7 linked regions of the Xenopus tropicalis genome follow. The protein of the gene in region 1 interacts with the protein of each later gene in a pairwise test. Links are inferred from orthologs where the notes say so. Each region holds a gene or a part of one and is shown in the gene's direction. Other genes may lie near its edges.

The links.
Region 2: the proteins of tle5 (region 1) and nudt22 interact in binary tests that used the Homo sapiens proteins (3 or more experiments, as listed by UniProt). The two-hybrid records come from large-scale screens. The link is inferred for Xenopus tropicalis from reciprocal best matches to the Homo sapiens genes TLE5 and NUDT22.
Region 3: the proteins of tle5 (region 1) and scnm1 interact in binary tests that used the Homo sapiens proteins (3 or more experiments, as listed by UniProt). The two-hybrid records come from large-scale screens. The link is inferred for Xenopus tropicalis from reciprocal best matches to the Homo sapiens genes TLE5 and SCNM1.
Region 4: the proteins of tle5 (region 1) and sdcbp interact in binary tests that used the Homo sapiens proteins (3 or more experiments, as listed by UniProt). The two-hybrid records come from large-scale screens. The link is inferred for Xenopus tropicalis from reciprocal best matches to the Homo sapiens genes TLE5 and SDCBP.
Region 5: the proteins of tle5 (region 1) and smad3 interact in binary tests that used the Homo sapiens proteins (3 or more experiments, as listed by UniProt). The two-hybrid records come from large-scale screens. The link is inferred for Xenopus tropicalis from reciprocal best matches to the Homo sapiens genes TLE5 and SMAD3.
Region 6: the proteins of tle5 (region 1) and parvg interact in binary tests that used the Homo sapiens proteins (3 or more experiments, as listed by UniProt). The two-hybrid records come from large-scale screens. The link is inferred for Xenopus tropicalis from reciprocal best matches to the Homo sapiens genes TLE5 and PARVG.
Region 7: the proteins of tle5 (region 1) and frs3 interact in binary tests that used the Homo sapiens proteins (3 or more experiments, as listed by UniProt). The two-hybrid records come from large-scale screens. The link is inferred for Xenopus tropicalis from reciprocal best matches to the Homo sapiens genes TLE5 and FRS3.

What each region holds. Positions count from the first base shown.
Region 1 is NC_030677.2:114,622,611-114,626,759, reverse strand, and holds the start of tle5 (amino-terminal enhancer of split), read left to right. Parts: upstream 1-1,349; 5' UTR 1,350-1,619; coding exon 1,620-1,652; intron 1,653-3,159; coding exon 3,160-3,257; intron 3,258-4,149. UniProt on the Homo sapiens protein: Transcriptional corepressor. Acts as a dominant repressor towards other family members. Inhibits NF-kappa-B-regulated gene expression. May be required for the initiation and maintenance of the differentiated state.
Region 2 is NC_030680.2:35,524,990-35,529,214, reverse strand, and holds the start of nudt22 (nucleoside diphosphate-linked moiety X motif 22), read left to right. Parts: upstream 1-1,425; 5' UTR 1,426-1,441; intron 1,442-2,679; coding exon of another isoform or gene 2,680-2,684; coding exon 2,685-3,245; intron 3,246-4,225. UniProt on the Homo sapiens protein: Hydrolyzes UDP-glucose to glucose 1-phosphate and UMP and UDP-galactose to galactose 1-phosphate and UMP. Preferred substrate is UDP-glucose.
Region 3 is NC_030684.2:137,909,132-137,913,240, forward strand, and holds the start of scnm1 (sodium channel modifier 1), read left to right. Parts: upstream 1-1,309; 5' UTR 1,310-1,404; coding exon 1,405-1,455; intron 1,456-2,301; coding exon 2,302-2,372; intron 2,373-2,495; coding exon 2,496-2,584; intron 2,585-3,141; coding exon 3,142-3,239; intron 3,240-4,109. Other genes in the region: lysmd1 (lysM and putative peptidoglycan-binding domain-containing protein 1), read right to left, coding at 724-894. UniProt on the Homo sapiens protein: As a component of the minor spliceosome, involved in the splicing of U12-type introns in pre-mRNAs. Plays a role in the regulation of primary cilia length and Hedgehog signaling.
Region 4 is NC_030682.2:116,370,505-116,374,587, forward strand, and holds the start of sdcbp (syntenin-1), read left to right. Parts: upstream 1-1,283; 5' UTR 1,284-1,386; intron 1,387-4,083. UniProt on the Homo sapiens protein: Multifunctional adapter protein involved in diverse array of functions including trafficking of transmembrane proteins, neuro and immunomodulation, exosome biogenesis, and tumorigenesis.
Region 5 is NC_030679.2:117,414,539-117,418,038, forward strand, and holds part of smad3 (mothers against decapentaplegic homolog 3), read left to right. Parts: intron 1-1,262; coding exon 1,263-1,475; intron 1,476-2,873; coding exon 2,874-3,011; intron 3,012-3,500. UniProt on the Homo sapiens protein: Receptor-regulated SMAD (R-SMAD) that is an intracellular signal transducer and transcriptional modulator activated by TGF-beta (transforming growth factor) and activin type 1 receptor kinases.
Region 6 is NC_030679.2:4,331,979-4,335,478, reverse strand, and holds part of parvg (gamma-parvin), read left to right. Parts: intron 1-1,177; coding exon 1,178-1,239; intron 1,240-1,407; coding exon 1,408-1,476; intron 1,477-3,500. UniProt on the Homo sapiens protein: Plays a role with ILK in promoting the cell adhesion and spreading of leukocytes.
Region 7 is NC_030678.2:70,891,270-70,894,769, forward strand, and holds part of frs3 (fibroblast growth factor receptor substrate 3), read left to right. Parts: intron 1-98; 5' UTR 99-121; coding exon 122-181; intron 182-614; coding exon 615-801; intron 802-3,500. UniProt on the Homo sapiens protein: Adapter protein that links FGF and NGF receptors to downstream signaling pathways. Involved in the activation of MAP kinases. Down-regulates ERK2 signaling by interfering with the phosphorylation and nuclear translocation of ERK2.

The sequences.
Region 1 (4,149 bases):
ACAATCTCAACTTTTTGTGTGCAACCATTAAATTGAGTGCTTCAGGAAGCTAGAGTTTGGTTGATTCTCATCTCTCAAAAAACCTGAGCCTTTTCCTCTTGACTAAATGATGGTCCAATATAGAACTATATTGTAATAATGCCTAAATAAGTCTGAGGTGCAGAGAGGAATTTAGTACTGTATTGTTTGCTGTCCTATTACTTTAAACTTTTCTTGATTAAGTTGAGATTTTTACTGTGGCCCAAAATCACATTTACAGTGAGACAGTTGTTTTAGTTAAATAATTTGGTTCATTTAAGGCTGATGGCCCAAAGAGCAAGTTAGTTGTCCGCTGTAGATCTCTGCTACTGCGGGCAACTAATCACTCTGAAATGCCTTTCCAGTGGCAACAATCGGAGTCGATGGAAAGGCCTATGCATTGCTTCGGCTTTCCAAAGTTGCCTGCAGGAGGAAACTTTGTGCGAATTGGGAAAGCCAAAGCGATGCGTAGGCCTTTCCACCAGCGACTCCTATAGTTGCCAGTGGAAAGGCATTTTGGAGCACTTAGTCGTCCGCGGTAGCGAGATCTATCGCGGGCGACTAACTTGCTCCATGGGACATTAGCCTTAGATGTCATTCTGCAAGGCTCCATGTTTTTGTCAGCATTTTGCATTGTTACACCAGTGTGCCATTGGGAAACCGTGTTCATCTAAACATAAACTGATCAGATGCAAATGCTCAGTGCATTGGTGTGAAGGTTGAACAACATGGTGCTGTAGGCCCTTAGTAAACGAGGCCATCAGTGTCTTATCTTTTGCACCCCATAATTACCAAGAACTGAACATCATGTGTGAGTGTCTGGAAGCAAAATCTGTGCAGCCAGGAGTTTGTAGCAGGCCAGAAATGTTGAGGGCCCAGTGGGGCCATAATTACTAAACAATTTCTCCAGAAATTTTGGGTGCCCCTTTAATGAATATGTTGAGGGCTTAGTAACATCTACTTTCACCACTGGTAAAAATTGAATTACTTCAGTTCAGATGATTGTTGTAAAAGCCTTAGATATATACAGAGACAAAAAATATTCTTAAGGGAGATTAAAATAAGGCAGCCTCTAAAAATTAGCGAAATGATGCTCCCACTGAGGTCTGTATAGCAGGGTTCATTGAATGTAACTGATAAGCTTTCATTTTTTCAGGAATTTTAAAATCAGCTAAAAGGACAAGGGATCCTTACATGGGAAATTGAATCATTGAAACTGTGACCTGTAGAGGGAGCCATATATCTGCTTAAGCACAGACGCCATTAAACAAAAGGCTCCTGAGTGGGTAGAGAGCTAGGAGATCGTGTAGTGAAGCAGGGCAGGCCGTAGCCTCAGGGGTGGGGGAGCATTACCGGGTTAGAGATCAAGAAGGGACGAGGCCAAGGGGACAGTAGAGGTCCTGGTTGACAGCACACAGAGCGGCCAGAAGATCATCTGGGGTTTGCGGATCACATATCTGGGCCCAAAGCAGTAGTGCCGGCTGAGAAGCAGAGCGAAGCCTTCCCAAAGTGCACTGAGCCCTTGGATAAAGCGCACAGGAAGCCGGGCCTTGGATACTGAGCCTGTGCGTAGCGCCGTACATACCGGGGCCGGGTGGGATATGATGTTTCCTCAAAGCAGCAGCCGGCACTCGGTGAGAAGGCGAGGGGTAGAACTGAATGTACTACTGTATTATTGTGTGTTATATTTGTATAGAACATGTTCATCTGCTGGAGACGCTAAAAGCAATATGGGGGTAGGATTTTTTTGTTGCAGGAAGTCCTGCCGTTGCAGGAGCCGAAAGGGCTTAGTGTTGTAGTAGAGTTTCAGAATTCTGTTGAATCCATCTTTGCCGTCTAGAGCACTGGTAGCATTGTTATATTTTCGAGGTGATATCCAGTATTACACACTGCTGTGCAATGTGCTGCCTCTTTATAAATACATGTTAAGGACAAGAAATTACTGGAAGGGGCAATGGTAGGCATCCCCTCCCCAATAATTATAATTACTAGCCTCAATCCCCCCCATTGGAGTTGCCTTTGTGCTTAAAATTGCACTGCCCTGGGGCACTATTGTAGGGAGTGCTGCCAGCTTGCTTTCTGTCCATGCAATTCTTACTTCTGCCCTGGGTAATGAGCACATGCTATAGAGCAAAATCAGGACTGAAGCTGCAAGCCAAATATTTTGCTGTATTGCACATGACCCAGAGCAGCAGCAAGGAAGCAAGATGGTGGTGCACCCTAAAATAGTATCCTGGCCACTGTGTTTTTTTTAGTGAAGAGCAGTATTAGCCTGGGGTCCAAGGTAATCACCAGAGGTGCCTGACAAATGTGGCCCTCACCATATTGGCAGTGCATAATTGAGATATTCATGTATCATGTACTGTACCACAGAAAAGTGAGCCTCCAATTGTCAAAATAATGACCAAGCAGTGTTCTAGTTGCTGCCTTCTCCCTTGGAAATGGGATACATATACTTAACAGAAATAGCTAATTATTAGTAATAACTATGCTTGCTGCAGCCATGTATTATGTGCTTAAAGCCTTCCATACACTGAAAGATCCACTCATTTGGTGAAGTCGGCAAACAAGTGAATTATCTTGTGATTTGGCCACCAAGGTTTGTTTGGCTTTATGGCCGCTGATCAGATCATTATAGGGGCCTATACTTGGTTGATTAGGAACTGAGCGTATAAACAACCAAGTGGCCCTTATTTTATGATATTTTCAAACCTGCCCAGCAGATATCTAACTGATATGGCAGCTAATGTTTCCAAAGGTATTTTTAGCTTAACATAATAATACATATTGCATAAGCCATTTAGGTGTAAAGGGGTGAGGTGGCAAACAAAGACAAAAGTTGTTGTAGAACTCTTCTTTTACCCTATTCTACCTCCTGACTCATGGGAACACAATCAAAACAAATTACTAGTCCACTGAGAAGCCCTTTGTATAAATAAACCCCTCCCTGCCCCTTGATGCAACCTGTTAGACTCTGAAATGAGTAGCTCATTATACAGAGGTTTCTCAATGGACTGGTGATCATTAAAGGGGTATACTATGCCTTTAATTTAACCACTAATTAGCCAAGTGTCCTGTGGATTCCATTAAGGCTGCAAATGTTTTCACATGGAATTTCTATTATGATTTTTTTTTCCTTAGGGCTCTTCGCATTTGCCCCAGCAACTCAAATTCACAACCTCAGATTCATGTGATAGAATTAAGGATGAATTTCAACTGCTGCAGGCACAGTATCACAGGTAGGAAATTGCTTCATTTTGACACTGAGGGCCACGCCAATGCACCTTTTGTCTGATGAGGTTTTCAAGCCTGCCGATTGTTATCTAGAATTTACACATGCCAATAAGCTGCCGACTAGGTCGGGAGGAACCAAGTCATCAGCTTTAATCAGCCCCTGTACGGCCACCTTAAGGCTAATGGTGCAGTTAGTCGCCCACTATAGATCTTTGCTACCACAGGCAACTAGCTGTTCCGAAATGCCTTTCCACCTGCAACAATAGGAGTTAGGAGTCGCCAGTGGAAAGTTATACGCATCGCTTTGGCTTGCCAGTGGAAAGGCATTTTGGCACAGTAGTCAGCCATGGTAGCAGAAATCTATTGCAGGTGACTGACTGGCTCCATGCGACATTAGCCAAACACTACATTTTATGTTTTTTATGGCATAGTATTGTTAGGACACATACATGATGACCTGTAGCTAACTTGTTTGACATAAATTTAATATAACCTGGCCCTTAAACATGATATACTGATATTTGGGTCCCTACACTAAAATGCCAGTGTTTAAGAACCCTTATTCTTTTAGTATAAGCAGCTAAGTCTGTACAAGTATGGAACCTGTTACCCAGAATGCTTGGGACTTGAAGCTTTCTGGATAAGGGATCTTTCTGTAACTTGGATCTCCATAGCTTAAGTTCACTAAAGCAAAATTTAAACATTAAATAAACCCAACAGTGTTGTTTTGCCTCCAATAAAGATTAATTATGTCTTTGTTAGGATCAAGTACAAGGTACTGTTTTATTATTACAGAGAAAATGGAAATGGGGCCTATGAGAGATGACCTTACCGTTGTTCGGAGTTTTCTGGATAACAGATTTCCAGATAGCTGAATACCTGTACTGTCCAACTGCA
Region 2 (4,225 bases), on another chromosome or scaffold:
TCCAAGGAAGGGGAGGGGGAGCACAGAGCCAAATGCTCACTGCCCATTGTACTTCAGCACTAATGCGGTGTGACAGGGACTTTGCGTCACTACAGCTCCCTCTGAGATCTGCTGACTCAGCACATGGTCCCAATGGGAACGCCACATATTTATCAAAGGGTTGAAATAGAGCTAAGCTGGCCACACACTGATAGATCTGCTTGTTTGGTAAGGTTGCCATCTATGCTCCGATATGGTCCTCATCAGAGTAGATTTTCAGATGTAACCAATTGATATCTGGTGCTATACACAGGCTGATATGCTGCCAACCAGTGGTGTAATGGGAAATCGCCAGGCACCCCTGTAAAAAAAAAAAAAAAAAAGTTCCTCAATTTTCCCTTGCAGTGCTGGAGTTCAATTTTAGCCTGGGTACTATCTGCAAGGAGTTTATGTTCTCCCTGGGTTCCCTCTGGGTGTTGCATTTATCTCTCAATCCAGAATGCTCAAAACCTGGCATTTTCCGGATAAGGGGTCTTTACTTAAGTTGGATCTCGATACCTTAGGTGTACAAAAATCACTAAACATTAATTAACCCAAAAGTATTATTTTGCCCCCAATAAGGATGAATTATATTTCAGATGGGATCAAGTACAAGTACTGTTTTATTATTACAGAGAAAAGGAGATATTTTGTTATTGTTTGATTAACATGGAGTCTATGGGGGGTGGCCTCCCTGTAATTCAGAATTCCTGGTTAACAGGTTTCCCGTTATGTACAGGCAGGTTAAATTGACCCTAGTACATGTGAATGTGAAAGAGACCATATATTGTAAGCTCCATTTGGCAGGGACTGTTGTGTATCATGTGTAATCTTTGTAAATAGCTGTGTAAATGTTTCTGCACTAAATAACCAACAATCGCCTCATCTCCTGCCTGAGTAGTGCTTGCACAGTACAGCTAATGTAATGTACATGTGTTGGGCAGAGAGTGGCCGAGGGGTGACTGCAAATCTGAGAAAAGGGGTCCCCCTCTCAGCTCCACCACCAGGTTTAGCTGGAGAGATTACAAAGAATGCATCTATACTTTTGTTGTATATAAAATATGAATATGGAAGTATATAGATAGGAGCAACACAGACTGTTCCATAGAGATGGATATAGAAAGACTGGCAGACAGAAAGGTACACTGTTTTATTTGATTTGTGATACTTTACAGAGTACAAATGGAGAGTGAATTCATTGGAATAATAGAATGCCGCCCCCCCATTGTGCACCAATTAGTCAGGGCCGGGGAGGGGCTGGTTTCACTGGATCCTGAAGTGACGCTCCTGAACTCCTGTTGATGTGTGAAAAGGGGGTGTGGCAAGGGCCATATAATGACTGTAGTGTATCAGAATAGGCAGAAGCAGACCTGTTAAAGAGAGCCATGCGGATAAGAGAAAGAGAAGGTACTGTGTCTGTGAGGTGGGACTAGCACTGGGGCATTTCTGGCTACTGCTGGCAGATGAGGCTGGCATGGCTTGGTCTTTGGCTAAGATATGTATTTTACAGATGCATGGGGAATTTAATTAGTGTGTAAGATGGCACTGGTATTGTGAATATTTACAGAGATGGCACCGGTATTGTAAATATTTTCAGAGAGAGATGGCACTGGTACTATGAATATTTCCAGAGAGATGGCACTGGTATGGCACTTGGTAATTGTATGTGTGTATACATGAATGAACTGGAAATGCAGCACTTCCTCATGCAAATATACAGTGTGTGTGAGATTTGGCTACAGTACATCAGATTGGACTAGTGCTGTATCTACACCATGTATATCTGGGCACAATAACAGGAATGTCAGAAGGCAATGCCTGCATAGAAATAATTCTATATAATGCGTTTGTGTGTGTGTGTGTGTGGGGGGGGGGTGGAATTCAACTGAATAAGGTGTCTAGCTATGCAGAACAATCGTGCTGAAAGGGGCCTGCAAATTACAAAAATACATATAATACATATAAATAAATAAATATATTCTATGCTAGGCGAAGGCCTTGACATTTGTCCCTGCTGTGTACCTTCATCTGTTAAAAAAAATTTAAATTCTTACCACTGGGGGGCAACAGACAAAGTATTTGGTCAACAAATACATCTACTGTGCAACTGATATGGGATTGGGCAAACCCAATGCTTTGTCACATTGCACATGTGCTAGGCACACAACTTAACCACACAGGGAAGAATAATTCAGGTGTTTATTTGAGGGCATCCAGTGAAAAGAGAACTGTCAGGAATTCAGCTCAATATATCTAAATAACCAGCATTGTATGATAATTTTATTTTATGGTTTTCAATATGTTAGTAGTGGCTGTTTTATAGAATTATTGGGTTATACATAATCCTATATCCTCAGTGTAAAATGGAGATAGGCCAGTAAAAATTATGCTTTTGTCTAGAAAAGATGGCAACTGTAGTTGGATAAATTTAGTGGCTATAAAAGGCCTAATGTTCTGCATAGTCCACTTACAGGCCCCAGGGTTCTAGGTGACTGGCCCTCTAAAACATTTTTTTGGTCCCCTGCCTGGCTGGGTCCATAGATCTGTTAGTTTTCCGTCATCATTTTGTTCAAATCCAACCCATGATTATTTAGAATATCAGATAAGAGGCACATTACATGTAAATGTATCTTCTAACACTCTTCTTCATTTACTCTCCAGCCCCCATGGATCCAGAAATTTCCATCCTTTACTGCAGCCCTTGTCCTGAGGGGCTCCCCCAGCGCAGAGTCCGAGCTCAACTATCACCTCACTATCAACGGCGCTGTCTGCCCCCACCTCTGGAGGAGCAAATTCTGCTGGAATGGGAGGAGCGAAAAAGCAAGCAGCCATGGGTCTTCAATGGGGCTAAATTTAGGCTTCATTCTGTGAAAGCAGAGTTAAATCAAAGAAGAGAGAAGACCAACCGGGAGAACAGGCTTGGAGAAATAGGAGATCACATAAGGCCTGCCGAGTCTGATGTGGATGAGCAGGGTGGGCTAACTCTCCATCTTGCTCTTACCTCGTACAGAGACTTCTTGGGCACCAATTGGTCGGGTAATGCAAAGGCATTGCAGGAGAGAGGTGGTAGGGAACATGGAGACCCAGAGGCTTACCTAGCCCAGCCACTGGGAGTAGGAGCTGCTTTGCAGTGCAGTGATGGCCGATTTGTGCTGCTGAGGAGAAGCAACAGAGTTGGAGAAGCACCAGGGCTGCTTGATATTCCAGGTGGACACCCTGAGCCAAAGGTATGAAGGGGCAAGAATTCAGAGTCAGAGGAAATAAATACGGGTATGGGATCCCTTATCCGGAAACCCATTATCCAGAAAGCTCCAAATTCCGGAAAGCCCGTCTCCCATAGACTCCATTTTAATCAAATAATACAGAATTTTAAAACTGATTTCCTTTTTCTCTGTAGTAATAAAACTGTACCTTGTACTTGATCCCAACTAAGATATAAATAATCATTATTGGATACAAAACAATCCTATTGGGTTTAATTAATATTTTATTGATTTTTTAGTAGACTTAAGTTATGGAGATCCAAATTACGGAAAGACCCCTTATCCGGAATACCCTTGGTCCCGAGAATTCTGGATAACGGATCCTATACCTGTATTTTTTAAAAGAGAAAAATATTATGGTACTTCATGGGAAAATATTATACGTTTCATAGAATTATTTGCTATTATTTTTTGTCCTCTAAACACTAAGGAATGGTGATATGTGCATTTGTGAAAGATTCTTGCTGCATTTTATCTACTGAATATTAATTTTGTTTATCATAATTATCTGTCATAGATTGATGTGGTACAGAAGCGCAAAACATCTGGTGTAACGTGTCTTGGTTAATTCTTTGCTAAGCTTTAGTTCTCCTTTAAAGGAGAAGGAAAAGCTAAGACACTTGGGGGTGCCAAAATATCAGGCACCCCCAAGTGACTTGAATCGCCTACCTTTTACCCCGGGCTGGTGCCCCTGTACGGAGAGAACAGCACCAGCCTGGGGTAGCAGCGAGCGCTTTTTCCTTCCTTCTTTGCATGCGCAGTAGAGTGAGAAGCTGAACTTTAACAGAGAAGTCAGCTTTTTCACTCTACTGCGCATGCGCCTGACTCACAGTTAAGGCTTAAGGAACGCGGAAGGAGGAAGCGCATAGCTACAGGTGCCCCGGGCTGGTGCGGTTTTCTCCTAACAGGGGCACCAGCCCGGGGTACAAGGTAAGCGATTCCAG
Region 3 (4,109 bases), on another chromosome or scaffold:
CTAAGCGAGAAAGGATAAGGGCATGGATTAGTGTTTTAGCTGTTACTTGTGAAAGAAAGGGGCGTATCTTGGCAATATTGCAGAGGAAAAATGGCAGATAACCCCAAGGCAGCGTGCAGAATTAACAGGGTTAACGGTCATGCCATCAATAGTCATGGTGAAAGGAGGAGAAGTGATATTTAAGACCAAAAGAAGAAATAAGGTCTCCTAAAGAGAGAGTGTACAGGGAGAACAGCAAAGGGCCAAGCAAAGGGCCCCACACTGAGCTGAACCCCCACACTGAGCTGAGCCCCCACACTAAGCAGAACCGGGGTAGGGGATTGGTTAGTAAGAGCGACAGAGAAGGAGCGGTTAGAGAGATAGGAAGAGAACCAGGATGCAGCCTGATCCCGGATACCCAGAGAATGGAGACTTTGTATAAGGACTGAATGTGCCCTGACAGTGTCGTGCACCAAATTCACCATATTTTCATTTCCCTTCATGTTTATCAGGCCCACCGGCTGTATCTGAACCCAATGCCTTCCTGATAACATCCTGGGGGGTTGGTTCTAGGGTGGGGCAGGTAAGGCATGTCCCCTGGGGGGGGGAGTAGAGAACTGTACAAAGGGCATATGAGACTAACAGCTGTTAGATATTACCAGTTATACACAAGGGGTCTCCAGCTGTTGCTAAACTGCAACTCCCAGCACCCTACACCCTATAATAGGAAGGTACCGTACTCACCGTGACGCCGTATCTGAGTGCCAAGCCCTGCAGTGTGTCCCCGGGCTGGACCTGGTGCTCCAGTTTGCGGATCCGGGCCGGTGAATAGGGCGACTGGACTAGGCTGCCATAGGAACGGGTCCTGGTTCCATGGAGAAGCCCAGAGTCTCTGTGCCCAGAGTTGGATGCCATGGCTTGTGAGCTCTAAAGGGCAAGTTAACTATACATTGTCTGACTGGGCAGAGGTGGAGGCAGAAGTGGAGGCAGAGATGGAGTCCCTGCAGCCCTCAGTCACATGCTGGGCTACTAATTCAATCAGACTGAAAGAAAAAGGGAGAATTCATTAGTATCACATGACAGCACTGACAGGGGTTTGCCCAAGGGGGTTGGGCTGGGCTAAAAGCTGCCCCAATACCCCCAGCACAGACCCACAGCCCTTCCAGCTGCCCAGCACAGGCAAGTACCCAATAATACACAGCTCACTGCTGGGCAGGGGTGACAGGAGCAAGGCATGCCGGGAGCAGTAGTGCAGCACAGGCTCTGCCCCAGGATTCGCGGCTCTCACGGAACTACAAGTCCCATAATGCCCGGACTCCGCCTCCTCCTCTCCGGAAATAAACTACATTTCCCGTAAGGCCGCAGAAAGGAGTACGGTGGCCGCGCAGGGTTACAGCTCTCAAAGGGGGCGCTACAGGCTGGGCTATGTCGTTTAAACGGGATGGGGATGATCTGAGCCAGCTGAACGTTCTAAAGGTACGGGGTGATACCCATACAGGGGAGGGGAGGGTGTCTGGGGGGGGAAGGGTAGGGTATGGTGTCTAGAGGTGGGGGGAAGGGTGGGGTAGGGAAAGGTAGGGTGCCTGGGGGTGGGGGGAAGGGTAGGGTGTCTGTGGGTGGGTGGGGTAGGGTGCCTGTGGGTGGGGGTAAGGAAGAGTAGGGTGCCTGGGGGTGGGGGTAAGGAAGAGTAGGGTGCCTGGGGGTGGGGGTAGGGAAGGGTAGGGCGCGTGGGGGTAGGGAAGGGTAGGGTGCCTGTGGGTGGGGGTAAGGAAGAGTAGGGTGCCTGGGGGTGGGGGTAAGGAAGGGTAGGGTGCCTGGGGGTGGGGGTAGGGAAGGGTAGGGCGCGTGGGGGTAGGGAAGGGTAGGGCGCGTGGGGGTAGGGAAGGGTAGGGCGCGTGGGGGTAAGGAAGAGTAGGGTGCCTGTGGGTGGGGGTAAGGAAGAGTAGGGTGCCTGTGGGTGGGGGTAAGGAAGAGTAGGGTGCCTGGGGGTGGGGGTAGGGAAGGGTAGGGTGCCTGGGGGTGGGGGTAGGGAAGGGTAGGGTGCCTGGGGGTGGGGGTAGGGAAGGGTAGGGCGCGTGGGGGTAGGGAAGGGTAGGGTGCGTGTGGGTGGGGGTAAGGAAGAGTAGGGTGCCTGTGGGTGGGGGTAAGGAAGAGTAGGGTGCCTGTGGGTGGGGGTAAGGAAGAGTAGGGTGCCTGTGGGTGGGGAAGGGTAAGGTGTCTGTGGTTTTGGTTTGGGGTGTGGGTAGGGTGCCTGTGGCAGAGTAGGGTGCAGTTGTAAGGGGGAAGGGTTAATTTAATATCCCATTTCCTGTCTCCCTACAGAAGAGGCGAGTGGCGGATCTGCTGGCCAGTTACATCCCGGAGGATGAGGCTTTGCTTCTTAAAAATGGCAGGTAAGGGTCTCTCCACTGATTGGTTCCCTCGGTGTGGGCCCCTGGGAGGGCTTGCTTCTATATACCCTTATATTCCGGGGCCCCTGCCTATCCCTCTGTGTAACTGTGTTGTGTATATAACAGCTACGCTTGCACCGTGTGCCATCACCGGCCCGTCTTCAGTACCATCGATATGTTGTCTGTGCACAGAAGCGGGAAGAAGCACTTAGCCGGTAAGTTACTGACTAGAAAAGAGATCCATTTCCTGTCTTATGACTTCATTTCCTCTCCAGATTTCTGACATAACGTCCTGTCTGGCATTTGCGGATCCGAAGACTTGCCTAGGGATGTTCCCCTGTTGATTTATTAATTATTTATTTTTGTATTTATAACTTCCTGTCTGACTTTGTGACTTAACTTCCTGTTATGACTTCATTTCCTGTATGCCATTTTAATGTGGAGCCTGTAGCTACTGGTCTCTGCCCCAATACCAGGTTTTATTCTGTCTCCTCCCCCATTATCTTTCTATACAGGCCCTCTTCTGTTCATATACCAGTTTCTCATTCATTCTGCTGCCTGGTTGCTAAGGTAGTTTGAACCCTAGCAACCACATAGCTGCGGAAAACTGCAAATAATAAAAAATGAAGACCAATTGCAGATTGTCTTAGAATATTCTCTATATCATACTAAAAGTTAACTCAAAGGTGAACATCCCCTTTAATGACTGGTCACATGTCTATAATACATATTTGTGCAATGGGCCGCTGACTCCCTCTCAACTCTCCTACAGGTCAGCAGCGGTATTACGGCAAGAAGCTGGAGCATAACAATGAGATCCAGAAGAGGCGCCATTTTGATTTTGTACAGGCAGAAGATGCAGGAGAACAGGTGGGCAGATTTCTCTTTCTCCAGGCTATTGGCTATTAGGGGGCTGTTCCTGCTGAATTGTGCTTAGTACAGGGGAATCCCTATGTGCCATAGTTTTATGGTATCTCTCTGTACAGGCTATGAGCAAACTTAGGGGGTTGTTCCTGCTGAATTGCGCTTAGTACAGGGGAATCCCTATGTGCCATAGTTTTATGGTATCTCTCTGTACAGGCTATGAGCAAACTTAGGGGGCTGTTCCTGCTGAATTGTGCTTAGTACAGGGGAATCCCTATGTGCCATAGTTTTATGGTATCTCTCTGTACAGGCTATGAGCAAACTTAGGGGGCTGTTCCTGCTGAATTGTGCTTAGTACAGGGGAATCCCTATGTGCCATAGTTTTATGGTATCTCTCTGTACAGGCTATGAGCAAACTTAATGGGCTGTTCCTGCTGAATTGTGCTTAGTACAGGGGAATCCCTATGTGCCATAGTTTTATGGTATCTCTCTGTACAGGCTATGAGCAAACTTAGGGGGCTGTTCCTGCTGAATTGTGCTTAGTACAGGGGAATCCCTATGCTGCCATAGTTTTATGGTATCTCTCTGTACAGGCTATGAGCAAACTTAGGGGGCTGTTCCTGCTGAATTGTGCTTAGTACAGGAGAATCCCTATGTGCCATAGTTTTATGGTATCTCTCTGTACAGGCTATGAGCAAACTTAGGGGGCTGTTCCTGCTGAATTGTGCTTAGTACAGGGGAATCCCTATGTGCCATAGTTTTATGGTATCTCTCTGTACAGGCTATGAGCAAACTTAGGGGGCTGTTCCTGCTGAATTGTGCTTAGTACAGGGGAATCCCTATGCTGCCATAGTTTTGAGTAACTTTTTTTTATTT
Region 4 (4,083 bases), on another chromosome or scaffold:
AATTATAACGTCTGTATTAGGCACTATCCGTTCGCAGACCGCATCAACGAGCCGATGCGGTCCCTGATCCAACTGAATTTTTTAACCTGCCCGATCAATATCTGGCCGATTTCCAAGGGACCGATATCGGCATCTACAATCTGCATGTGTATGACCACCTTTACTGGCTCCATGCACCTTTCCCCTGCCCAGTCTGCCCATTTCCCTGACCCTTGCAACACCCTCAAATGTCACTTCCCGCCCACCAACCCAAATGCTAGTACTAGCCACAGAAAAAGGTAGCAACCCTTATCCATGATAGCTTTGCCACCTTTGAAGAGTTATTTTAATGGCAGGAGCGGAGCTATGAGAGAGCAGGGTGGGCACAAAGGAGTGGGATGTGACATAAAGGGAAAGGGTTATGGCGCAAGAGGGTAGTCAGGCTGAACTGGAAGGCCATTTTGTAAGTAGAGCTAGTCTCTTTGGAAGCTGCAAGGGCTGATGGGAGGCAGGCCTGGGGTGGATGGAATAGTTATCATAAATTTACAGACAAGTATGTTGCCAGTAAATTTGTTATGGGCCCCAGGCTTGTATATAGGGGCTAGGTATAGGAGCTGGGACAGAGAGAAGCTGCACTGCATGTTGGTTAGTGTGGGAGGCACATCAGCCCTGTGTCAGTCCTGTTATTATTAGAATGCGTGTGAGGGGTAGGGCTCCCACTTTTTCTGGGAAAACACCAGCTTTTCTATATTTTTTTGTTTTCCCTATTAATTATATATTTTTTACTAGCCAGCCTGCAACCCTAGTGATGGACATTCATTCCCCCTTTACTATAAACATTTACAAAGAGCCAACACACTCTGCAGTGCTGTATAGCAGAATGGTATAAAACATACAAATTACATATCAATAAAAACCCAGAAGAAAAAGGGGCCGGGCCCGGCACAATAAATTTCCCTTTACAATCTTGGGGGGGCGGGGTCGCACTTTTTCCCGGCTAGGTAGGGGATAGCTCCTAACAAATGACTGTGTTCTCTGTGTTTAACTCATGAAAACAAGAATGGAGGAAATGGGAATATTAAAATAGCAACACCCCACCCCGGAGTCTTCAACTTCCCGTTACCCTTGGCAACAGTCACGGGGCCGACTTTTCGGAAAATGACGTCACCCGCCTTGAACCCCGCCCACCCCTCCTTCCTGCTCCCGCCTTAGCCCCGCCCACCCCTCCTCCCTGTGCTCTCCCCTGCTCTGCCCGAGTGTGCGACTGCCTTTGTCTTCCGTCAGCGCCATCTCCGTGCCGTGACGTCAGTGCTGTGAAGAGACGGGTCGGGAGAAGGCAGCTGTGGGGAGGACTAGTTAGCAACTAACGGGAAGGGCTTCCACTTCGAGTTATTCTCCTGCCGGCAGGTAAGTGTCCCCCTTACAGCTTCTCTTCACAGAAACATTATTTTGGGCTGTCCCACCAGCAGCAAGGCAGAGGGTGGTTATTATCCTCCCTTAGGTCCATACAACTCAGTTTTGTTCTCCCCCCCCCCCCCATCGCTGTTGTGCTTCCCAGGCAGGTGTGCCCATTCAGTGTCCCCCAGGTGTGACTGGAGCCGGAGCCCCCCGGCAGCTCATTGGGCGGTAGTACGGGCCGTGGGTGGAACTATTAAGGAAGGGGGGGGGGGGGGGGGGGGTGCGACTCCTGAGGCCGGGTGGGCCGCTCATAAACACTTTCACTGAATGTTTGTGAAGGGCTTATTCTTATTTAATTTTAGGGGGTCCCCAATATCAATTTTCCTGTGGGCCCAATGATGTCTGGTTATGCCAGTGATTACGCCCCATTAGGGGACCAGCTCCAGTTGGGGCATAAAGGGCGTATTTATTGGGGCCCCATGTTCATTTGAGGGTCTTAAAAGCTGCCATAAAGGGGGAATAGAAGATATAGACATTTTTTGAGAAACACAGGAGGGTAGTTGGTTGATATGACTAAGTAATACAAATCCACCTTTTCTGTCTCACTCACTTTGGCCTCTTTATTCACTAACTTTGCCATTCTATTTCTTACATACGCTTGCCCAGCGCTCTCCTGTGTGGCTATTTCTAATGGTGGGACCATCCATAGAGCAATAGGTGCCATGGCATTGGCCAGAGGTCAAGTGAGGTGATTTGGATTCCTTTAAAATCTTGTTTCCGCTGAGCCATTTGCCTATTTTGAGTCCCCAATACCCAGAAGGGATTTGGGAGGACTAAGCCATGTCATGTGACCGAACGGCATTCTTAAACACCAGATTATCTGGTATAGACATTAATGTAGGGTTAAAAAAATGTGTTTTAGGCCTTTGGTTTCACTAACATCGTCTTTAAATAAGGTGAGAGACAGGAGGAAGTGTGAGAGACCTTGGGCACAGTTGTGTAGATGAGTTTAGGGAAGGTGCTACAGACACCTCTAATGGAGGAAGATCACAAGTTAAAGTGACTTTTTTCTGTGACATTTTTACCGTTGACCGTGTAAGGTGGCAGCCTAAAGAATTACATGAATGTGGCCATGCCAAAAGTACTATTTCTATTAATAAGCACCTACATCAGTGGAATTTACAAACTGGTAATTTGCAGGCTGGGTTTCCTGCCTGCTGAACGTCGTTGGTTAGCACACTTTATTTAATGTGAGTCAGGATCAGTATTGTGGGTGCATGCTTCTGGTCACGTGATCATTTGGTTGGGGGTGTGTGTAGGGGAAACATTATGTGGCACTATATATCTGTGAATGCAGGTTTGTGTATGTATATGTCCATCTGAAGGCCACATTCTGCATCTGTAGCTTTTTTCAGTGGTTTGGTTCGGATTCTAAGGGCTCTGGCACACAGGGAGATTAGTCGCCCGCAACAAATCTCCTGTGTCTCGGGCGACTAATCTCCCCGAAATGCCATCCCACCGGCGAAAATGTAAATCGACATTTATATTTACTTGTGTCTCTCATAATCAGCACATATAATCAACTGGTCAGTGCTAATTACAGGTGACGCATATAATTAAATCTAGCCATTAACAACTCTAAATTTACTTACTCTGTTTTTATTATTATTATTTTATGAGCCACCAGAACTTGAATCTATCTCTGTTGTAGACACAGGACATTTACCATACAGCAGCTGTGTTGGACACAGCTTAGTTTAGCTGTCCCAGGCGTCATCTTATAGGGACACGCTAGTCATTTAGTCACATTATGGTCGTGGCCATACTTTTCCAAGAAAATGTTGCACAGCACTGATCTAGGAGAAGATTTAGGCATTTTCCCTAAATCCCACCTTGGCCTTCAGGTTCACCCCCCAGTCACTGCTCTTTATCTACGGGGACAGTCTTAAAGGAGAAGTAAAAACTAAGTAAGCTTTATCAGAAAGGTCTATGTAAATACAGCCATAAGTACTCACAGAAACACTGCACTGACTTCTCTGAAAAAAGATTAGTTGTGTCTGTAATTCCTGTGCCAGAGACACGCAGCTTTCAGCTCTCTGCTCTCTCCTTCTCCCCCCTCCCTCAAGAATGTTAAGAACTCACAACCCCCCTTAGGAATGTGGATCTGAGCCAATCAGCAGGAAGCTGACTCATAGTCTTACTAACTGAGCATGTTCAGTGGTCTCGGTGTCTGTGCAGGAGTGAGGCATTATGGGAACTTTCTTTACACAGCTTAGGGTTTTTTCTTCCTGTTTGGCTTCTGATCATCTGAACAGGAGAAATGTGGGGAGACTTAAGGGCATTATTGAGACAACTGAAGGTATGCCTGCAGCTTGAGATTAACTCTTTACTAGCCTTTCCTTCTCCTTTAAATTTTGAAAACTGCTGATAAAGATTTGCAGACCGCTTTGTAAACCTAAGTAGTGCTGGGCGGTATACCGGTTTAACCGGTATACCGGTTTTTGAAAAAAAAACGATATGATTTTTGAACATACCGCTATACCGGTATGCGCGCCTCCTGCAGTTTTTATCCAATTACATCCGGGTTGCGCCCGTGCGCACGTGACGTCGGCGCGCATGTGACGTCGGCGCGCACGCGACGTCGCTAGGACGCATCGCTGGGGCTGGGGCTGGGGCTGGTGCTGGGGTTGGGGGGGTTGTGGCTGG
Region 5 (3,500 bases), on another chromosome or scaffold:
ATGCTGTTTGTAAGCTGTGAAGAAGTTGCTACAATTTGTGACATCAATATTTTAGTCCCTCCTCCCCTGCAAGGATTTAAATGATGCAGAAAGCGAAGAACTGATTTGCAGCTGGATTTTAGCATATGTGCATTTATGTGGTATTTGTTCATACTCTTTCACATATGAAACTGTTCCAGCCCTAGTAAAAGAGCAGCATGGAATAGGAAAAACATAAAGTGGTTGCAGAATGTTGGGAGTTCTAATTCTGTATTTAGAGGCATTTAGGCTCTATTGATTTAAGGGGGACAGAGTGGTCCATGTAATGCAAAGGGTGGTTGTGCTTGTGCTCCTATAACTGCATTGAGTATTTTATTTACATGTATACTCTCCAATAAAGTGAATTGTCAGCAGTTCTGTAAGAGTAATATATTATGATAGCACTTTATATGAATATAAACATGCCCCTGAGTGCTCTCCTCCCAATCCCGAGAAACTTGGACGGATGCAGGGTTTAAATCAGGCAGTTTGGATTGGCAGGGGGCCAGGCCTTAGTATGTAAGGGCCCTGTCCTTATCAGTGAGGTTGCAGCCCTAAGGGAGTGAGATGGGTCATTGTTTAACTCGGAGCACTCTTCCTCCCCTAGCAGAAAGCTATCACTTCTGAGGAGCGAATCCATGTGTTCATTAGTATTTCCCATTATTTTAGTATCTCATTGCTGAAACCTTGTGAGGAAGAGACACCAGGCTGCTTTCTGCAGATGGTTTTCATTGCCCTCTGAACTGAAACATTCTGCAAAACTGCGTGTCTGGCACAAATGCACACGTTTCCATTGGGGTAACTGCAACATTTAATAATTAACTGAGGATTTAATTTCTCTGTGTGTGTTTTTTTATTTGCTGGAAAGCAAATCCACACAGGGGTAACCTTCCGGCAGTGATTTGATGTGTAGGGAAACCTCGTAGAATGAGAGTCATAGCTGTGTCACTGAAGTGAGCATGGGTTGCATTGCTAAACCAAATGTCTGGCGCTGCTCCATGCTCTGATTGTAGCATAGCAAAAAGACTGGCATCTACCTGATGTTAAACTGCCACCTTCTACTGACTCTGAAACATTATTATTATTATTCTTTATTTATTTAGCACCCACATATTGTGCAGCACTTTGCCCCAGTGGGAGAGCTTAAAGTCTAAATCCCCTATCACATTCTCTCACACACACTGTGGTCAATGTAGTGAAATATAGGAAATGTATATCATCTCCCCTCTGTTGACTCTTTGCAGACCTGCAGCCTGTTACATACTGCGAGCCGGCCTTTTGGTGCTCCATCTCCTACTATGAGCTTAACCAACGTGTGGGGGAGACCTTCCACGCTTCCCAACCCTCCATGACAGTGGATGGATTCACCGATCCTTCCAACTCCGAACGTTTCTGCCTGGGACTGTTGTCCAATGTAAATCGGAATGCGGCTGTGGAAATGACACGGAGACACATTGGTAAATCAGAGGTTTACATTGGCTTATGCATCATTGAGAAATTGAGAAACAGTGGATTTCAGTATCTGTTAACTTCACATAAGGTTTCAGGAGTAGTACTTGCTCTTAAGAGTTCATTCCCTTTTGAGCGACACAGATTGTAATCCATAGCAACCAGATAGCAGGTAGCTTTTACTGGCCAGCATTTATACAGATTAGTTGCTATGGGTTAATGAACCTGGGCCAACTTAAGTCTTGTATTACATTTCCCCTTTAGTGTGTAACAGAAATCATGTAATACAGGTGTGGGCAACCTGCGGCCCTCCAGATGTTCAGTTACATTTTCCAGTTCCCCTTCAACAGCCTCCCACTTCCAGCAGAGGGATGCTAGAAGTCGTAATTTTATGGCATCTGGATTGCCCATCCTGGCTCATTTTTCTTGTTATTTTTCAGTCTAACCAAAGTATGTTGTGTGCCGACTGTGTAATCCTCGCCCTTCTTAGGTGAATTACATTTTAGTGGCTGTTTAAAGTTTAAGGCAGATGCATAAAGGCACATATTGTTCTCCCATCACATTGCACCTAGTTTATTATAAATAAAATGTGGGTACCTAATTTTGCATTTTGACTGCATTTGGCTTCAGCCTTTTTTCTATGATGCCACAATTGGAGGAAAAACCTGTACATGTTGTCTTCATTACTTATTGCACCCCACTGGTAAGCTTTGTATTTGTGCACAGACGTGGAGTCAGGGGGCCCGATCACCTTTATTAGGTGCTGTTTGTGGGATAAGCACCACCCTGAGCTTTATGCTGCTGTAAGCCTTCCCCTTTACTTTCTGCAGGAGAAGAAAATCAAGTCTGTAGCCAAAGCAACTGGAAGAATTCTCTCTTCTAGTTATGTCAGCGGTTACCAAAAATTTTCCATTCTGGAGTGAAAGCAGAGGACCTCCCACAATATAAAATCTATTCGGCATGCACAGGAGGTTCTCTGCTTGCGTCCTCTCAGCGGCGAGATCCCCACTTCCCAGATATCCTATACATGCCTTTTAGTAAATGACAGTTGCTCACTATGTAAATATATGTAGTTAAATATAGCTTTCAAAATATCTGCTGTATTAACTGGCCAAGTGGCAGCAGTTTTCATTGTGTTTTTTACATTCAGGCTTGTGCCACCAATGACTTTGGACAGTGTCCATTTCACACACACAGTGCATAAAGTATAGGACATTGTGACCTTGAACTGTTGCATTCTTGTTTTCTTTTATTTAGAGAGAGCTGTCAGAAGAGGGTTTGGGGTGTATTAGCTCATTACTGGAGGGCATATTATAGCTTTGTCTCTGAGTGATCCATAACCGCACCATATGTCTCACTTCCTGCCATGTTTTCCTGTGTACTCATGGGAATGTTTTTGTTTGTAGGGAGAGGCGTGCGGCTGTATTACATCGGAGGGGAAGTGTTTGCTGAGTGCCTCAGTGACAATGCCATATTTGTACAGTCCCCAAATTGTAACCAGCGCTACGGTTGGCATCCTGCCACGGTCTGCAAGATTCCACCAGGTACAGTGTTGTTTTTTCGGAAATACAGAATGTTGTAGACTTTATGTAAGGTCTTGTATAACTCCCCAATAGAAGGCACAACATATCACTCCATGTGTTAACCCAGTTTGCTAAATCGAAAAGAAAAAAAATCTGCTTTTACAGATATCCCTTCCCAAGTTTTTGCACCATTTTGGCCTCTTTTGATGCAATAGTTGCTCTTTCTAGGACTCCAAATGATTTGAATTAGTCTGATTGACATTAGAATATGCTCTCACACCAAATATCATCCTAAATGAGGGTTCAGGCCTAGCTTCCAACAAAATTGAGGACTTAAAACCGTCACCTGAGGGCTCACTCTCTATGAGCTTTAGATTGCCCCAGTTTTCTATTTTCTGCGGCCCCCCATAACTCCCATTTCTTCACACCAACTATAAATTGCTGCCCCACAATCTGGGAACCTGTCACTGTTTTTTTTAATAACTAGGCATGATGCAGTAATGTCTTATG
Region 6 (3,500 bases), on another chromosome or scaffold:
GAGCAGTGCGACTGCATATAAAATGCACAATTACCCACCAGGAATGAAGCGGGGACGGCGAATGGCTAAGGGGCTGCTGGGTTTTATTTCCCCTTTACATCTGTCTGAGTGGATGTAGAATCACTTTGTTCTATGGAGGCGGGGCTATCTCAGCCTGCAGCTTCAGCCTACAGTCACACTCCATTGTTCCCCAAGCTGTAGGGCTGCTTTTACTGGCTGAATGGGGGCAGTGACAAAAGGGGGCGGGGCACGATGTAAACAGGGGTATGACAATAGTGTGGGTGATATCAAAGGGGGAGGGGTTACGACAGGATGGAGAGGGGAGATTGGGGAAATGAGAAAGGTTGGATTGGGGCAGGTCGAGGTTAGGTGGGTGGGGCTTAAATGTAGGGATATTACAACCATCCAAAATGGGCAGGTACTGTGGGGAAGTGGGAGGAGTTTGGACAGATCATGGGAGGGGTTTCGGATAGTGGAGCACAAGGGGGGTCAGGGACATTACCATGCATTCTGTTTCTTTGGGGCTCCAATCTACTTGGGGGCAGGGCCTATGGCCCAGGGTGCCCCGGTAGCCAATGGGTTAGTTAATAGAGCCCCATGATTACTAACAGGGCCCTGGGGGAGGGTGCCCCGGTGGCCAATGGGTTAGTTAATAGAGCCCCGTGATTACTAACAGGGCCCTGGGGGAGGGTGCCCCGGTGGCCAATGGGTTAGTTAATAGAGCCCCATGATTACTAACAGGGCCCTGGGGGAGGGTGCCCCGGTGGCCAATGGGTTAGTTAATAGAGCCCCATGATTACTAACAGGGCCCTGGGGGAGGGTGCCCCGGTGGCCAATGGGTTAGTTAATAGAGCCCCGTGATTACTAACAGGGCCCTGGGGGAGGGTGCCCCGGTGGCCAATGGGTTAGTTAATAGAGCCCCATGATTACTAACAGGGCCCTGGGGGAGGGTGCCCCGGTGGCCAATGGGTTAGTTAATACAGCCCCGTGATTACTAACAGGGCCCTGGGGGAGGGTGCCCCGGTGGCCAATGGGTTAGTTAATACAGCCCCGTGATTACTAACAGGGCCCTGGGGGAGGGTGCCCCGGTGGCCAATGGGTTAGTTAATAGAGCCCCGTGATTACTAACAGGGCCCTTTTTGGAGCCAATGGTGCAACTTATTTTATTTTCCCGCAGAGCCCGACGCGTTTGATCACCTGTTTGAGCAGAGTCCCGAAAAAGTCGAGGATGTGAAGAAGGTAATTGGGTATTAATGCAGTAACAGCGGGACGTGGTACTTACCCTTACCTTTATTGTTAAGCGCAACAAGGGGAAGGAGGTCCCTGTCCCGCAGAGCTTACAATCAATATTTCCTATGCATAGCAGTGGGGCGTGTTATTTCATTGCTAAATTTCCTTATATTTCAGGCAATCGTAAACTTTGTGAACAAGCACCTGGCAAACCTGAGCCTGACTGTGACGGACCCCGAGAGCCAGGTATATACTGAGCTAGAACCGGCTGCAACTGATTCTCTGTACTTCCTGCTCCTGGGCTGCTCTCTTTCCCATGGTCAGGGAGGAGGTGGAGCCAAAGTTAAGCCTGACCATGGGAAAGAGAGCAGCCCAGGAGCAGGAAGTACAGAGAATTACAGCTCTGTACCTGGGTAAGTACTGGGGGGAGATTGGATTCACTTACCCGGGGGAGGGTCCTGTCTGACCATGGGAAAGAGAGCAGCCCAGGAGCAGGAAGTACAGAGAATTGTAGCTCTGTACCTGGGTAAGTACTGGGGGGAGATTGGATTCACTTACCGGGGGGGGGGGGTCCTGTCTGACAATGGGAAAGAGAGCAGCCCAGGAGCAGGAAGTACAGAGAATCAGAGCTCTGTACCTGGGTAAGTACTGGGGGGAGATTGGATTCACTTACCCAGGTGGAGGTTCCTGCCTGACCATGGGAAAGAGAGCAGCCCAGGAGCAGGAAGTACAGAGAATCAGAGCTCTGTACCTGGGTAAGTACTGGGGGGAGATTGGATTCACTTACCCAGGGGGAGGTTCCTGTCTGACCATGGGAAAGAGAGCAGCCCAGGAGCAGGAAGTACAGAGAATCACAGCTCTGTACCTGGGTAAGTACTGGGAGGAGATTGGATTCACTTACCCAGGGGGGGGGGGGTGTCCTGTCTGACCATGGGAAAGAGAGCAGCCCAGGAGCAGGAAGTACAGAGAATCAGAGCTCTGTACCTGGGTAAGTACTGGGGGGAGATTGGATTCACTTACCCAGGGGGGTTCCTGCCTGACCATGGGAAAGAGAGCAGCCCAGGAGCAGGAAGTACAGAGAATCAGAGCTCTGTACCTGGGTAAGTACTGGGGGGAGATTAGATTCACTTACCCAGGGGGAGGTTCCTGCCTGACCATGGGAAAGAGAGCAGCCCAGGAGCAGGAAGTACAGAGAATCAGAGCTCTGTACCTGGGTAAGTACTGGGGGGAGATTGGATTCACTTACCCAGGGGGAGGTTCCTGTCTGACCATGGGAAAGAGAGCAGCCCAGGAGCAGGAAGTACAGAGAATCAGAGCTCTGTACCTGGGTAAGTACTGGGGGGAGATTGGATTCACTTACCCAGGGGGAGGTTCCTGCCTGACCATGGGAAAGAGAGCAGCCCAGGAACAGGAAGTACAGAGAATCAGAGTTCTGTACCTGGGTAAGTACTGGGGGGAGATTGGATTCACTTACCCAGAGGGGGGAGGTTCCTGCCTGACCATGGGAAAGAGAGCAGCCCAGGAGCAGGAAGTACAGAGAATCAGAGCTCTGTACCTGGGTAAGTACTGGGGGGGAGATTGGATTCACTTACCCAGAGGGGGGAGGTTCCTGCCTGACCATGGGAAAGAGAGCAGCCCAGGAGCAGGAAGTACAGAGAATCAGAGCTCTGTACCTGGGTAAGTACTGGGGGGAGATTGGATTCACTTACCCAGGGGGGTTCCTGCCTGACCATGGGAAAGAGAGCAGCCCAGGAGCAGGAAGTACAGAGAATCAGAGCTCTGTACCTGGGTAAGTACTGGGGGGAGATTGGATTTACTAGAAACATAGAAATGGATCATACTGCGACTCGCTGACAATAGAAGAATAATGGGGGGGTAGGAGAGGACGGTTGCCCGTAGCTTTAAATAACCATGTGATTTCCCCGGATAACGTTCCCCTTTCCCGGAGTCGGCTGTCAGGGTGCGGGGAGTAGATAATCTGTGGGAATGTAGGCCATAACGTCTCCATGGTGCTTGTCGCCAGCGCCGGCCCTAGAGGAGCCTGAATATATAATGTACCTTATGATAAATTGCAGGGAAAGCTAATGGGTCGGGCCCGGCAGCGACATCCCCATTGGCCCGAGCGCCGGTTCCCTAAGATTCATACAAACTGAATATATAAATACATTTAAAGCAGCTGTCAAATTACCCCAGTTTATATAATGGGCTGGCTTGGAACTAGGGGTGTGGCCTGGGAATAACAGGGTGGGGCCAAAATGGGAGACTGAACT
Region 7 (3,500 bases), on another chromosome or scaffold:
TGTATTTGACAAATTGTAGTGTAATCGGTTTCAGAGGTTTATTGGGTCTGAGGTCTGTTGTCTTCCATACTGGATTTCAATTAATTTTTTTCCTTAAGAGGTCACCTGATATGCTGACATCATGGGAAGCTGCTGCAGTTGTCGAGATGGTCTCCCAGACGATCATCCCACAAAATTTAAGGTAAGTATACCAGCTAAGATACTAGTGAAAGAGCTTGTAGACACATATATAATGTTGCATAATAAAAAAAAAAAAACTTGGGGAGAAAAAAATTACCACTCTGTGTCTTTGATTCTAAGCAACTTTCTAATATATATTACAAAATTTAGATTCTTCCAGCAGGCAGGCATCCATTGAAATTAGAAAAAAGGAGGTTTTATATGTGAAAAGAGTGATTTAATGTATGAACCGTGAAGTCTGAAATTTTCTCTACTATACTGGCGCATAAGTGATGTGTTTGTGGTTTTTTTTTTTTTTTTTAACCTTTCTGCATCAACAGTTAAGCTGGTCTTATTTGAACAAAAAGTTTTATGTTGATATAATGTGCATTTTTACAGCCTCACCCATTATATTATTATGTTTTATGTAACTATGAGTAATTCTGTCTTGACAGGTCACCAACGTGGATGATGAGGGAACAGAGTTGGGCTCAGGGGTCATGGAACTAACACAAACTGAACTGGTCCTTCACACCCGAAAGCGTGATGCTGTGAGATGGCCATACCTCTGTTTACGGCGTTATGGCTATGACTCTAACCTCTTTTCCTTCGAAAGTGGGCGAAGGTGTCAGACTGGTCAAGGTATGTCTCTAATGTGATTAAAAGCATTAACCTGACTTTTAAAAAAACGCCTATACCCCATGTGATATGTAAATGGTATATGTGGATAAAATAGTGTTTTTTAGTGCTAAACATAATCTACGGTAAACAGTAATTTGCATACCCCGTGCACCTGTGCCCCACAGATTATACCATTGACTGCATTTTTAGGTGACTGTTGACAGACAATAACTACATCAAGCAGTAGCGTAAATTTAGGGGAAATAATGTCTGCACGCTCAGTAAGGCATTTACTAATAATGTTTTGAATTGACATAGCCCAGTGTGGTTTTGGATCAAAGGGGGGGGGGGGGTCTTCATTTTGTCCAAAACATGAAAATGCAGTTTAACTCTGGTCAGATTAAATCGGTCATCCCCTGAGAATCCCCTGAGAATCCATTATACAAACTACTATTGCTCAATCCACTAAACCTTCACGTAAGAGTACACCTTCAAAACATTAGAATTATTGCACAAGATACAGAGTGACGGACAGTAGCAGCAAGCCGGCAACGTTTTGGGAGTACAACCTAAGAGATCCAGAACCTTCCCCATATCTAAAGTGGTCCAACAGATCATAGACACAGAGTGGACACAACCAGACCGCAGGATAACTCTGATGAAAAGATTCTGCTGCACGTATCCTGTTCCTGATAAAAATTGTTAAATTCTGGGACAAGGCACCAAAAGTTGACTCCATAGTCTCTCTCCGAACATACCACCCTACAAGCAGAATGACAACGTCTTCAAGTACCTGATGGACAGACAAATAGAGACAACACTACTTAAGCATTCGTCCACACATTCTCAAGCTACAGCATCCATTGAACCGCTAGTTTCTGGTGCAAGGAACTGCTTGGAAATCCCCCAGTCTCCGATCAGGATATGGTGGCAGAATTGCAGAAGATCAGTACACCGTTGTACTTCATAGCTGAGGCTGGCATGGATAGAGTTAAATTTGCAGCTCAATCTGCATACAATATAGTGATAGCCAGGAGAGCACTGTGGCGACACTGCTCCCAAATCTAGACTCCTGGGACTCAAATTTCCAGGAGAGTAGTTATTTGGCCCTTTCCTTAAGCAAATAACTTCAGAGGTCTCGGGCGGAAAAAGCACATTTCTTTCAAATTGAGACTTGACTTACATCACACCCAAGAGCTCTAGAGGAGGCTCATCACAAGGTCACTCCTTTTATCCATTAAAGACATTTAGAACAACCAAACCTCCAACAGACCTAAGGGAAAGGGACAAAATTCCTGGTCACAACAGTCAAGAAACAGTGGAGTCTTCTTCAGCATGACACCAGGGTAGTGCATTTTTAGATATATGGCAAACCACATTATAGACCCCAGGGTCCTAACGATAATTCAGGAAGGTAACAGAAACCCATTCACAGACAAACCTCCTCGGTACAGGTTCATACCTTCAGCAATCCACCGAAAACAAAGTCTTTCAAGAATGCCATTTGCGACTACAAAACAGAGTGATAATAGAGGTTCATCTGCAGCAAAGATTCAAGGGATTCTACTCAGCCTTATTTTTAGTCAAAAAGGAGGGCTTGCTTCATCCAGTCCTTAAAGGAGAAAAAAAGGTAAAAACTAAGTAAGCTTTATCAGATAAGGCTGAAATTTTACTGTTTGCAGGTAGCCACCTGAGCACAGGCCTCCTACGGACATAAGGTGCTGCAGGTGGCAGTTTCCCACCAGGACTAAATACCCACACTATAGGGGACCGCTTTAGTACGTGCCCTGACAGAAAAGGAGATTTTGGACTTAACGTAAAATCCTTTTCTTGTAGGCCCAAACTGTGCCGTTAGGTTAGAGTCAGGTCATTTAGGCCTTCCTCAACGTCTCTCAAATGTTATTCCTACTATGCTCTCCTACTCCCTTTGTCCCTTTGAATATTTAGATTAAACCTCCTTTCTTCTAATCTGAATGGATGCCATTGTTTCCGCTGGGAGAACCCACTGTTTTATAAAGCATTAGAGATTAGTATATCTATATATTTTTTATACATGCTTATCATATCCCCCCTTTAGCTCCCTTTTCTCTAGTGTAGAGACCTTCCATACCCTTTAAGAAAACTGTACCCCAAACAATGTAGGTCTCTATAACCCTGCTTCATTTTCAAAAAATTTTCATAAAAATATACGTTTTTTTTAAGTAGTATGTGTCATTGAGTAATCTTTAATAGAAAATTGCCATTTAATGGCCGCCCACTGGGATCATATGATTTACGAACACAAACAAACCAAGGGCACACATGTTAGGTCATATGAGCCAATTAATAGGCAAAGTTCTGTCATTACTTCTTCCTGTTAGAGCTGCATTACTTCCTGTCATGTGATCTGATCTCTGATGGAGCACACAGGCCATCACAAAGTGGGGGTTCAAGGGAAAACCTGTAAAAGGGTAATATTTACTGTTATTTATATTCCACTTTGGTAAGATTCTTTAATAGGGAACCTAATATGATATAAACTATCTGTTGGTTAAGTATTCATTCTGGAGGTGTAGTTTTACTTTAACCATCTTAGTTGCCCTTTTTTGGACCCTCTCTAATTCAGTAATATCCAGTTTAAGTACTGGAGACCAAAACTGCACAGCATATTCTAGATGATCTTACCACCTCTGTAAAGTAAAATAAGTATAGTTTGCTGCCTTAGGACCTGGACAAGAGCA